Macaca fascicularis: one gene and its partners. The protein of the gene in region 3 purifies or fractionates together with the protein of the main gene of each other region. This does not show direct contact. Links are inferred from orthologs where the notes say so. Each region holds a gene or a part of one and is shown on either strand. Other genes may lie near its edges. The genes, in order: EZH2, EPB41L3 and NUMA1.

Region 1 (3,744 bases), on a different chromosome or scaffold from region 3:
GACAGCACACGTTAAATTTCTTAGGCAACAAACATTTCTGCATCCAGTCTTTTCTGAATCACCAAAGCTATTGTTCACAGAAAACGAGACCAATTACTAAGAAACTGCTAACCATAGAATCTAAACACACATTTGTCATAGCCATTCTATTTTGATCACCTACTTCTACCACCTCATCCTCATTCAACCCGTCGGGATTTGGGAAATAATCTCTGGCTGAATGACAGTTGATTTCGTTAGCACCTGTCGCCATTCTCAGATGTATCACACAAGTTGGCCAAAACAGCTTGTAATGTTTAAGGATTACGATTCTTTAGAAAGTGGGAACTCACTAGGCGTTCACCAAGTTTTCCAAAAGATCGTGCTTCTCGATTCCTCCCGCTTTCAAAAAGTAACCCTGTGGCACAGATTTTTGGGGGCAGTGGAAGGGGATGTACACAATGAAGTGGGAATTCAACAGGAAGCCCTCCAAAAACACAATCAATAGAGAGCAGAACAGCTCGACTCTTCCCTCAAACTTAGCATAAAGCCAGACCAGGCGGCGAGGCAGCCCGCGACCGCCGGAGCTCAGGGGGATTTCGGGGTGCGTCCTGGGGAAACGTCAGAGGCGAAGCTACTCCGAGTTCCACGCCGCGAACGTCGTCCCGCGGTCGCCGCGGCCCCAGCCCGGGGTCAGCGCGCCCGGGATGGGGGCGTGCGCGGGGCTGGGGCCGAGCCCTGCCCACCCCGGCAGCGGCCCGCGCCTCCCCACGCCCCTCTCCCGCCCGCCGGCGGGCCCGGGTGTCATGCCCCTTCCCCTCGCGCCGAGACCTCCGGAGACACAGTCCGTCCTTTGTCTGAGTGCAGACTCGGCGGCTGGGTCCCACCAACTTGTGTCTGTCCCGTCCCACCCGGGCGCTCCCGCCGCGGCCGCGCCACACAAAGGAGACTTGAGGCTCGAGCTGCCACCCTGGACCGGGCACCGGAACGCCCCGACCCCGGCCCCGGCGCCCCGGCCAGGGCAGGCACCGGGAAAGCTGCCCCCCACACGCCCCCCGCCCCGCAGCTCCGGGGGTCCGCGCTGCCCCACTCGTAGGCTCCCGCTGGCCAGCCCTAAGCTCACAGCTCCTTCCGGGGAGGGGGGTCTCCCCTCACCCTCCACCCCCCGCACGCCTACAAACGCGGCGCCCGGGTGAGCCCCGTTTAGGCGATACCCGGGACCGGCACAGCAGCGGCGGGGAGGTCCTGCCGCCGCCGCCGCCGCCCGCTTCGCACTCCTGGAGCCCCACCGGCCGGGCCGCCCGCAGCGGCGCGTTACCTTCGTCCCGCGCGCCGGCTCGCGCTGTTCCCGCGCGTCGCCCCCGCGCGCCGCCGCCGCCGCCGCCGCCGCCGGGGCTCCACTGCCTTCTGTGTCCCACCGGGTGTCGGACGCGACCGGACCGAGCGCCAAACGCGGCAGTCCAATCGCCATCGCTTTTATTTGGCCCCCCCAACCCAATCAAGCACCGCCCCGATTGGCGGGACGCTAGGCGGGCGCCCGTCCAATCACAGGGCCCGCCGGGCTCGGAGGCGCCGAGCCAGCCCCACGCAGAGTGCGCTCAGGGCTCGCGGGCGGGCGGTGGTGGCGCGTGCGCGCGCGGGCGGTGGCGGGGCTCGCTTGAAGCGACGCGACTGGCCTTGTGGAAGCGCTGCCGCCGTCTCTTTGTTCTTTCGCTGAACACACGGCGCCTCTCAGGAAGGCGGTGTGCAGGCAGGCGGGGACCGGGAGACATCGCGGGGGCCCGGAGCCCACCGCGAACGGGAGGCGGGGAGGATGGGTGGCGGGAACGGGCCGAAGGGCGGGACGACGCGCCGGCTGCTCTTGGCGGGAACCGGCGCCGCGGAGTTCCCGGGCGGGGGAGGGGAGGGGAGGGGAGGGGCGAGGCGGGGACTGGAAGCCAAGTTTGAACCAGTTCAAAACTCGGGGGTGGTAACGGTTTTAACCGCCGCGCTCGTTTCCCCGCGCGCGGTGCCGAGGCCCGAGCTGGCCTCTCCTGGCGGTGCCCAGGGAGGGGAGGGCACGGGCCCCGGAGGTCGGCTCTGCTGCGGCGCGGCCTTTGCGGGGAGACGCTCGCCCGGCCCGCGCGCTGCCGCCGGCCCCGTTACTTCTTTTTTTTTTTTTCCCTCTGAGACGGAGTTTCGCTCTTGTTGCCCAGGCTGGAGTGCAATGGCGCGATCTCAACTCACCGCCACCTCCGCCTTCCGTGTTCAAGAGATTCTCCTGCCTCAGCCTCCCGGGTAGCGGGGATTACAAGCATGCGCCACTACGCCCGGCAATTTTGTATTTTTAGTAGAGACGGGGTTTCTCCGTGTTGGTCAGGCTGGTCTCGAACTCCCGACTGCAGGTGATCCGCCCGCCTCGGCCTCCCGAAGTGCTGGGATTACAGGCGTGAGCCACAGCGCCCGGCCCGGGTCCCGTTGATGTTGCCTGCTGCTGCCTCGGCCACTTCCCGCCCCGCCCCCCGCCCCCCGCCTCCACCGCTGGACTTTGGCTGAGCTCGCAGTGCTTATCGCCCTAGAAACCTGTGAAAGGGTGACATTACTGCCATTTCAGACCCTTCCAGTGTTTGTAGTGCCAAGCAAGTGTCAGTGTTAAAAATCGTTTATTAAGATGAGCGCTGTTCACTTGCCGCCTCTGCAAAGTGTAAGGATATTTGCAATATTTTTTAGTGATTAAACAATGATCTTAGTTATGGGGGGGTCAACCTGCCTCAACTCAGGAATTAGGGGGCTTCTGCTTAGGATACAATCTCTCCTATTGCTTCATGTGACAATGCAGTTAAGAGTATCCCGAATTTATTTTTACTAGGATGTACCTATGGGGTAAAATACCATTGTCCTGTAAACTGAGATTCCATATTGATAGTTCAGACTGGACACTGAAAAAAGGCCACCTATGATGTTGGGGTAAAAATCTGAAGAAATCTTTTTAATGATTTTAATAACTAGCTAGAATTTTAATTTTTATTTTTCTTTTTTTTTTTTTTTTTTTTGAGATGGTCTCACACTGTCGCCCAGGCTGGAGTGCAGCAGCGCCATCTCGGCTCACTGCAAGTTCCGCCTCCCGGGTTCACACCATTCTGCCTCAGCCTCCCAGGGTAGCTGGGACCACAGGTGCCCGCCACCACGCCCGGCTAATTTTTTGTGTTTTTAGTAGAGACGGGGTTTCACCATGTTAGCCAGGGTGGTCTCGATTTCCTGACCTTGTGATCCACGCGTCTCAGCCTCCCAAAGTGCTGGGATTACAGGCGTGAGCCACCGCGCCGGGCCATAATTTTTCATCAGGTGATTTAGCCCATAATTTTCCCGCCTTTCCTAAATCACCATTCCATTCCTCACATATATTCTGAACCACGCCAATGTTGGAAAGTATATATGAAGGGAAGCTAAAAGATAAGGAGAAACAAGCAATCATGTGCTCAGATAAAAGCAAAATTATCTTGTGAATCAATGATAAGACTGCAAAAAGTAAGTTATGCAACTGAGATGTGACTGTAAAATAACGTAACGAATTATAGCTGTCATTACTTACAGTCACCAATACATTCATTTTCCAAGATAAAATGCATCTATCTAGGCCAGCAGTTTGCAATTTTTTAAAACCAGCAACTTAAACCTCAGAAATTAACTACTTATCCCTAAGTTGCTTATCAAATTACTGAACTTATCAGTCCTATAATATTAAATAGTAAAACGACATTTTTTAAGAGGAAGATCAATGAAATT
Region 2 (3,661 bases), on a different chromosome or scaffold from region 3:
ACTAGCCAGGCGTGGTGGTGATCGCCTGTAATCCCAGCTACTCGGGAGGCCGAGGCAAGAGAATTGCTTGAACCCACCAGGAGTCAGAGGTTGCAGTGAGCCGAGACTGCACCATTGCACTCCAGCCTGGGCGACACAGTGGGACTCCATCTCAAAAAAAAAAAAAAAAAAGTCCCTCTCTTCATTATATATAGTCAAATTCTCACAGAAAGAAAACATTTATTCCTCAGTCTACTCTTGGAGTTCTACTTTACTGCAGAGGACATGAATTCTAGTTTGTGAATTTTAGGGAAAGCACTAACTTAAAAGATGAATGCACATCATACAACATGGAAGAAAATACTTTTACAGTATTTTACAGAAAACACTTTTTACAGCAAGTTCCTGCCACACTTAATCTAATATACCATGTAAGTCCAGAAAAGATTCACAAGTAACAGCAACACATCTCTCAGTGCATGGATAGTGGCATCTCTTCTACCTAGGTGGCCCCTTAATGCATCTGACCAACCAGTTCTTAAAAAACAATTATAAATAAAATTGCATCCGATCAAGTTTAAAAATATCCTGATCTTTTTATTTCAACACAAAGTTGGCCAAAGTCCAAGCACTGTATAAGAATTGATGAAAAATTGCTTTTAACCTAAATCACATTCAAGCAGAAGAAATGTCTTAAAAATTAAATGTAAATATCTCACTGAGACACTGACATTTGATCTATAGCTCCCAAATCCTTCACCTAAAAGGGGTTTACAAATTAAAGTGGCTACTCTTCTTGTTATGGATGAATTATTCACAAAACATGATCTGTTTTGAAAAACTTATTTTGGCTAAAGTGTATTAACTAAATAAACTTGATGCAGTGTTGTGCATCTAATAGTTTACTTTTCTAAACTACCAGAAAACCATAATGCAAATGAGATAGTATTAAGCATTCAGCTATCAATGCCTTGCAAATTAACAAATTGAAGTCACGCTTCTCCAATTTAGTATTTATTCCCTCTCACATTAATTTTGTTACTCCAACTAAAGTTTTTAAAGTTTGATACCAAAATTAACATGCATTTTTTAAACACTCTCTCTGAGCCAAGACAGAAATCACCTCTCAGTCCCCAGAGTTCACTGGAGCTTGATGTGCTGCTCTCTTTTCTTAATAGGGCTTTTCTGCTTAATTTGCTGTAATTGGGACTACGTCCATGGCTCACAGACATCAAGTGGAATTTTACCATTTTTGTTTCCTTGAGACTTTAAAAATCAGGGTGAATTTCAAAAATAATGTTTTTAAGCACTTCGTGTGACGCTTCCTGTACTACAGAAGTTAATGCTATCAAAAGAAACTCCAGCACACCTGGCCACCTCAGAGAGCTTAAAATTCCCATTGCAACCCCCGCCCCCCAACAAAAAGGACAGGCAGGATATCTGCAAAAGCAATTCCGCAAGACTAATGTAAAAAAGCTGAAACAACTTAAACACGCAATGGAAGCACTGCATTAGCAGGACTGCCGGGCCCTCGCAGGACCTCCCAGCCCAACCTCCACAAGTAATTAATACCACATGTTTCCTTTATCATTCTATTTGTTCTGTTCCGCAATAATCTCTACCAACTTTAACCCTGGGCTGCAACTAAAGGAAAAACCCTAGGAAACTTCAGATCCGTAATATAGAAAGAAAATTGAGAAGAATACTCTCATTGCAAGGGACCACAGTTACAATTTACTAGGTAACCACACCCACCGCATTGCAGAAGCCATGAACTTCGCGGGCGTGGGGGGGGTGGGGGAGAAGGGGAAGAAGTCGGGCGAGATTAGAGGCGAAACCCGAAAAAGCAAGCCCCTGCGGCAGCAACCAGGAAACACCCGCCAGGAACTGGCTGACACCCCAGCTCCAGCGGTCCGAAGCCCCAGCCTCCCCACCCCCACCGCTGCAGAGCCGCCTTCGCAGACACCTCCCAAGGCGAATCGCAGCCCGGAGGGCGCCAGGTGAGTCGCGCCGCCCCAAGCCCCCGGGCCACGACAGGCCGACCCAGGCGCCCCCGGCCCGCCCCCGGGTGCCAGAGGCGAGGGGCCCCTGCAGGTGCCCAGGCCCAGGGCAACCCCGCTTGGACGCTCCCTCCTCCTCCCCCACCGGCCGGGGGCCGCTGCCCCAGTTCGGGGAACGAGGCAAGTTATATAAAAGCGGCCGGCCCCGCTGCCCAGCGGGGATGCTTTGTGCGGAGCGCACCTTACCGGCCCCGCGCCGCGCCCGCCCGCGCCTGCACCCGGGACGAGCCCGCAGCCGCCGCGCACTGAGCGCACGGCCCCTCCCGCGGCCCGCCAGCCGCCAGCCGCCACCCGCCCGGGCGGCGCCGCAGTGTCGCCCCCTGTCCCTCGCACCTCCCCGGGGGAGGGGCCGGCCCGCGCTCGCCCCCAGTCCGAGGGGCAACTTAAAACATGGCGCCCCGGGCGGGGGATTTGCGAAAATTGGCGGAGAAGGGACGCGGGGACCGAGTTGCCCCATCGGCCAGGGATCCCAGGGAGGCCCCCAGGCCGGAGGCCGGGACTCAGGCTCTGCGCGCCGGCCCAGCCACTGCTGCAGCGCGGCGGGTGGAGCGGGCGGGGGGCGCGGCGCACAGGCTCGGCCCGCCGAGGGTCCCGGCGAGCGGGAGGGCGGTTGGGGACCCCAGGCGCGGGGCTCGGGATTCGGGAGACCGCGCGGCGCCGGAGCCACGCGTCAGCCCCACAGCCCGTGCGCCTCGCCCCAGGCCTCGGGCTCTTCCTCCGCACCTCGTAAAGCCGAGACCCCCTCGCAGTCCCCCACTCCGGGAGGCGGAAAAGTTACCTGGGATCAGCGGATAGCCCAGGCGCGCCGCGGCGTGGGGACCAGGCTCGGGCGCGCGTCCTCGGCGGCGGTGCGCAGGAGACTCGGGCGTGGGGAGGAAGCCGCAGCCCAGGGCTGCTCGCCGCGGCTCCCCCCGCCCCCTGTTGCAGGAGACACCGAGGCTCCGCGGAGCTGCGGCGGGGGCCCACGCCCAGAGACCGCGCAAGGAAAGCCAACCTCGTCCTGCCTGCCCTCCCAGCCGCGGGGGAGGGGGCCAGCGCAGTACTTCAGGACAGTTACATGGGCACAACCTCCTCCTTCCTGGCGCAGGGTCAGGCTCCGCGGACGACGCCTGGAGACAGCTGCCAATGCCAATAGCTTTAGCCCTTGATTTCCACTTAGATGATGGCCTGGCCTCTCCAGCCCCCTCTCCCCTCCCAGACATCCCCTGTGAGAAAGGAGGGAGGGGGTGTTCCTGACCTTCAGGTGAGTTATTTATTGGCTAGGGACTGCAGTATTTTTTTTTTTTCTTTTTGGAAAGAAAATAAAAATCAAGTTGGTGGTGTTTTGAAGTCATGTTAATAGAGAAGATCTGAATTAATGGTTGATAAGAGAAGTCGCCCATCTTTCAGCAACTCAGCTACTCCGTCCTCTCCAGTACCTATAAAGCTTTCCACTGAAATGGAGCGGAGGGGGCTCCCTGATTTGTAAGTGAAATAAGTAACTCCTGGTCGTCTCACAATATCTTAAGATCTGACCGAGTAACTAAGACATTTAAGAAATGTTTTTATGGGCACAAAAAGAATAGAGTGAATAAGACATAGTATTTAATAGCACAACAGGGTGACTATAGTCAAAATAATTT
Region 3 (3,644 bases):
GCAGCTTGCTATGGAAAGGAAACCTGCTGAGGTACAGTCTTTTGGGCTAGAAGGCATTTTGTCCAGCCCTTTTCCAAAGTGACCATTTTCCATACTATAAGCAGATGAGGTCAAGCAACCCATGTCTCTGAATTTTCAGAGGTACCAAGGAAAGCCCTTGACCTGGGCCTTCCCTTCAGTCCACTCCCCTGGCTTCTCCTAATACCTCCTCATAGTGGCAATGCCCAGACCCAGATGTCCCATCCTCACCAGATGCCCACGGCTGCTCCACAGCAAACACGTCCCAATCTAAGCCCACTTCTCTGTTCTTCCTCCTTCATCTCCCATTTCAGTGAATACGAGCACCTGCCACTCAGGCCCCCAAACCATGAACATGGGCATAATTCTATGTTGTCCTGCTTGGGAAGCCCAATCACCAAGCTTCCTCAACAGCTCTCCTAACCATACCCTCTCCATGCTTATGTCCTTTTCCTGGTTTGTCTCATCTCCTCTCACCTAGACTCATCATGGCACTCACAGAGGCAGATGAGTGGTGACAAGCAAGGACTCAGGCCAGGCTGCACAGGGTCAAACCCCAGCTCTACCACTGGGGGACCTTGGGCAAATGACTACCCCTCTATGCCCCAGATTCATCTGTTAAAGGAGACAGAATAAACCTACCTCAGAGGGTTGTTGGGGGATAAATCAGGTATAATTGTTATGAGTGCTTTATGTCTAGCACAAAATAAGTACAATGTAAGTGTTTAATAAAAACAATATGTATTTCCAGTCTTAACTTCTATATTGGCTATTAGAATCATCTTTTTAAGATGGAAATTAACCATGTACTCTTCAGTTTCAAATTCTTCCAAGGTTCCTTTTTTTTTTTTCCCTTAAACCTTTCAATTATAGCCACCAAGGTTTCCTCAATGCCTTTAGGATCAAGTCTTAATAGCCGGTCTCCAACGGGGAGTCCAGATGGCCCTCTAGGATCTTGGGCCTTCCTGGCCTTGCATCTCAGCCTAGTCAGGCTCTTTCACAGCCTCTGTTCACACTGCTCTTCTCTGTCAACCTGGCACACACACCTATGGATGCTTTCAAGACTCAGCAGGAGCGATAGCTTCCATGAAGCCTTTCTTGACCGCTTGCTTTTTATTCCAACTGTGCCCTAAACAGACATCTGGTATAATACCTGTTTTTCTTTATTCTTCTCTAAGAATAAATTTGGATCACATCTTATTTATCTCACCAGGATACAGCCTGATAAACAGCGGGTACTCCATAAACAACAGACATAGGGAGGAAGAGTGCCTCCTGACCTAGTGATACTGAGTGGGGTCCCCTCCTCGCAGCTCAGATCCAGGCTGTCAATACTCAAGTCCAGCTGGGGCTTAGCCTGGGGCTCACGGCTCTTTAAAGCATCAGTTGCCACCTGGAATTTGCCCAGGTCTCGAAGCTGCTGGTCTGCGTGGGCAACCTGAGAAGGAGAGGGCCAGGGGGAGAGTGAAGAAAAACCTAAGGCATCAGTGGCCTAGGAGGAGAGGGCACAGGGGTCCAGTGGGATAGGGGTGAGGTGAGTCTGCCAGCCAAATTCTTACCTGTGCCTCCAGGCTGCGCACCTGGGCAGTAAGGTGGCGGCATGTCTGTTCAGCCTCCTTGGTCTTCAGCCCAGCCTGCTGTAGCTCATGGCCCAGCCGTTCGGCTTCAGCTCGCAGCTCTTTGTTTTCCTTCTGCAGGTGCTCCAGGCTCTGCAGCTGCTCCTGCAGCTCTTGGTTCTGCTGCTTCTTGGCATCATAATGAGTTTTGGCTTTCTCCATCTGTGGGCAGAGAGGATGGGTGGGTGGGGCAGAGGCTGGAGGGCAGGAAGAAGGTAGCATGGGCTGGGGCTGGGCTCCTTACCTGCAGCTTATAGTGCTCAGCTGCCTGCTCCTTCTGGCTCAACTGGGCTTGCAGTTCATTCAGCCGGGCCTGGAGGCGCTGGGCCTCCTGCTGGCTCTCACCGCCCTGAGCCTGGACAGCCTGAGAAGAAAGTCCACTCAGGAAAGCTGGTCTGGCCCCTCTACCCAAGTCCACTCATCTGCATCAGCCACTGGGGCTCAAGAGGTGCTTCAGACTCCTGCACTTAGGAAGAGGAAGAAAACCACACCACCCCAGATACACTCCACCCGACTACAGCCTACTGAACCTGAAGTCCACATGCCCTTCAGTCCACATCCATAGTGGCCTTTCCCTGACCAGCTCCTGCCCTATCTTTGCCTTCTTTGAGATAGGACACAAACTGTCTCACCCTCTTTGCATGCACACACAATCTCCCCTAGGAGGAAGGGAACCGATCCTCGAGGAACACCCAGGTGCGGAGCCTGGAGTGAGGCACTTGGCATGTGAGCTCTCTGAGGACAGGGGAACTTGTTTCTCCTCAAAGCCACTCTGAGAAGTCACTTCATCCCCTTTTCAGAGGAGGAAACTGAGTTCAAAGATTTAAGCAAATTGACCATAGCAACAATGACTAAATGGCAGAGTAAGACTTGGTCCACTAAACTCCAAAAGCCCGTGGGGGCTTATTTATGATGCCCACACTGCCTCCTGTCCAGACTATAACTCCTTAAGAACAGGGCCTGATTCTCTGTCCATCTGCAAGGCCAGCAAGTACTCTGCGGTAGATACTGTACAGAAACATCCCACCTTTGCCTCTCCTAACACAGGACAGGCCCCACAAGGAGCAGAATAAACATTTGTTTATTGCAATCAAGACATGCTGTGGCACCATGGTATGAAATGAAGCTCTGAGCTCCCACCAACTCCTAGGACCCACCAGGGCTTTAGTGAGTCCCAATACCACTGATGTCCAATTCCTTTGCCCCTGACTAAAGGCTGTGCAGCCTAGAACTGCAGAAAGCAAGTATTAAACCAAAGAAGGTGACACAGTTGGAATCATTAAGAATGTTATTAAACTGCATTGTAATATTCAACACTGGTGACACTCGTTCTTTCCCTGCCCAGACTATCTGGACTTACATGGTTCAACAGAACTTTATGCAACGGTGGAAAGTTCTGTATCTGTGCTGTCCAATGCAGCAGCCACTAACCACATGTAGCTACTGAGCAGGGACACAATGTAGCTAGTGTGATTGAAGAACTGGATTTACTTTAATAAATTTCAATAACCACACATGACTAGTAGCTGCTGTAGTGGAGACAGTTGAGAGATGGGAACCACCCTGGTTGTCTCTTGAGAGCTCCCAGAAGACACACGCAGGGGCTTCTAAGCCACAGGCTTCCTAGGAGGGCTGCCTGGAACACAGGGTGCCCCTCCTCTGCCCCCACACCCCCACGGCCCGAGAGCTTAGAGAACAGCTTTCCTCCCCTGTCCAGAGGCCAGACCCGTTCCCCCAGCTGCCCCACCTTCAGCTTCTGCTGCTGCACTTTGCTGGCTTGGTCAGAGTCAGCCAGTTTCTTCCTCAGTTCTTCCACCTGGGGAGGGAAGAGGAGGACAGAAGACTCAGGAGGACTTCCCCTGGATGTTCATCCCAGATGTCTACCCATCATGGGGTGGCCCAGACCAGGATCCCCAGTATTCCTAGAATAAACTCAGGCCCTTTCTCTGGCCTCCAATTAGGGAACAGCCTGCTGCCCAGGCTGCTTGGCAGGGCCTGAGTGAGGCAATC

Evidence for each region.
Region 1: the proteins of NUMA1 (region 3) and EZH2 purify together in Homo sapiens (affinity purification with mass spectrometry; 3 studies listed by BioGRID and IntAct, with this or other methods). This does not show direct contact. The link is inferred for Macaca fascicularis from reciprocal best matches to the Homo sapiens genes NUMA1 and EZH2.
Region 2: the proteins of NUMA1 (region 3) and EPB41L3 purify together in Homo sapiens (affinity purification with mass spectrometry; 3 studies listed by BioGRID and IntAct, with this or other methods). This does not show direct contact. The link is inferred for Macaca fascicularis from reciprocal best matches to the Homo sapiens genes NUMA1 and EPB41L3.

The regions. Positions count from the first base shown.
Region 1 is NC_088377.1:190,537,210-190,540,953, forward strand, and holds the start of EZH2 (histone-lysine N-methyltransferase EZH2), read right to left. Parts: upstream 2,483-3,744; 5' UTR 2,277-2,482; coding exon 2,206-2,276; intron 1,730-2,205; exon of another isoform or gene 1,597-1,729; intron 1,434-1,596; exon of another isoform or gene 1,298-1,433; intron 1-1,297. UniProt on the Homo sapiens protein: Polycomb group (PcG) protein. Catalytic subunit of the PRC2/EED-EZH2 complex, which methylates 'Lys-9' (H3K9me) and 'Lys-27' (H3K27me) of histone H3, leading to transcriptional repression of the affected target gene.
Region 2 is NC_088392.1:74,037,346-74,041,006, forward strand, and holds the start of EPB41L3 (band 4.1-like protein 3), read right to left. Parts: upstream 2,903-3,661; 5' UTR 2,818-2,902; intron 2,329-2,817; exon of another isoform or gene 2,226-2,328; intron 1-2,225. UniProt on the Homo sapiens protein: Tumor suppressor that inhibits cell proliferation and promotes apoptosis. Modulates the activity of protein arginine N-methyltransferases, including PRMT3 and PRMT5.
Region 3 is NC_088388.1:70,766,699-70,770,342, forward strand, and holds part of NUMA1 (nuclear mitotic apparatus protein 1), read right to left. Parts: intron 3,451-3,644; coding exon 3,382-3,450; intron 1,999-3,381; coding exon 1,879-1,998; intron 1,797-1,878; coding exon 1,578-1,796; intron 1,457-1,577; coding exon 1,299-1,456; intron 9-1,298; coding exon 1-8. UniProt on the Homo sapiens protein: Microtubule (MT)-binding protein that plays a role in the formation and maintenance of the spindle poles and the alignement and the segregation of chromosomes during mitotic cell division.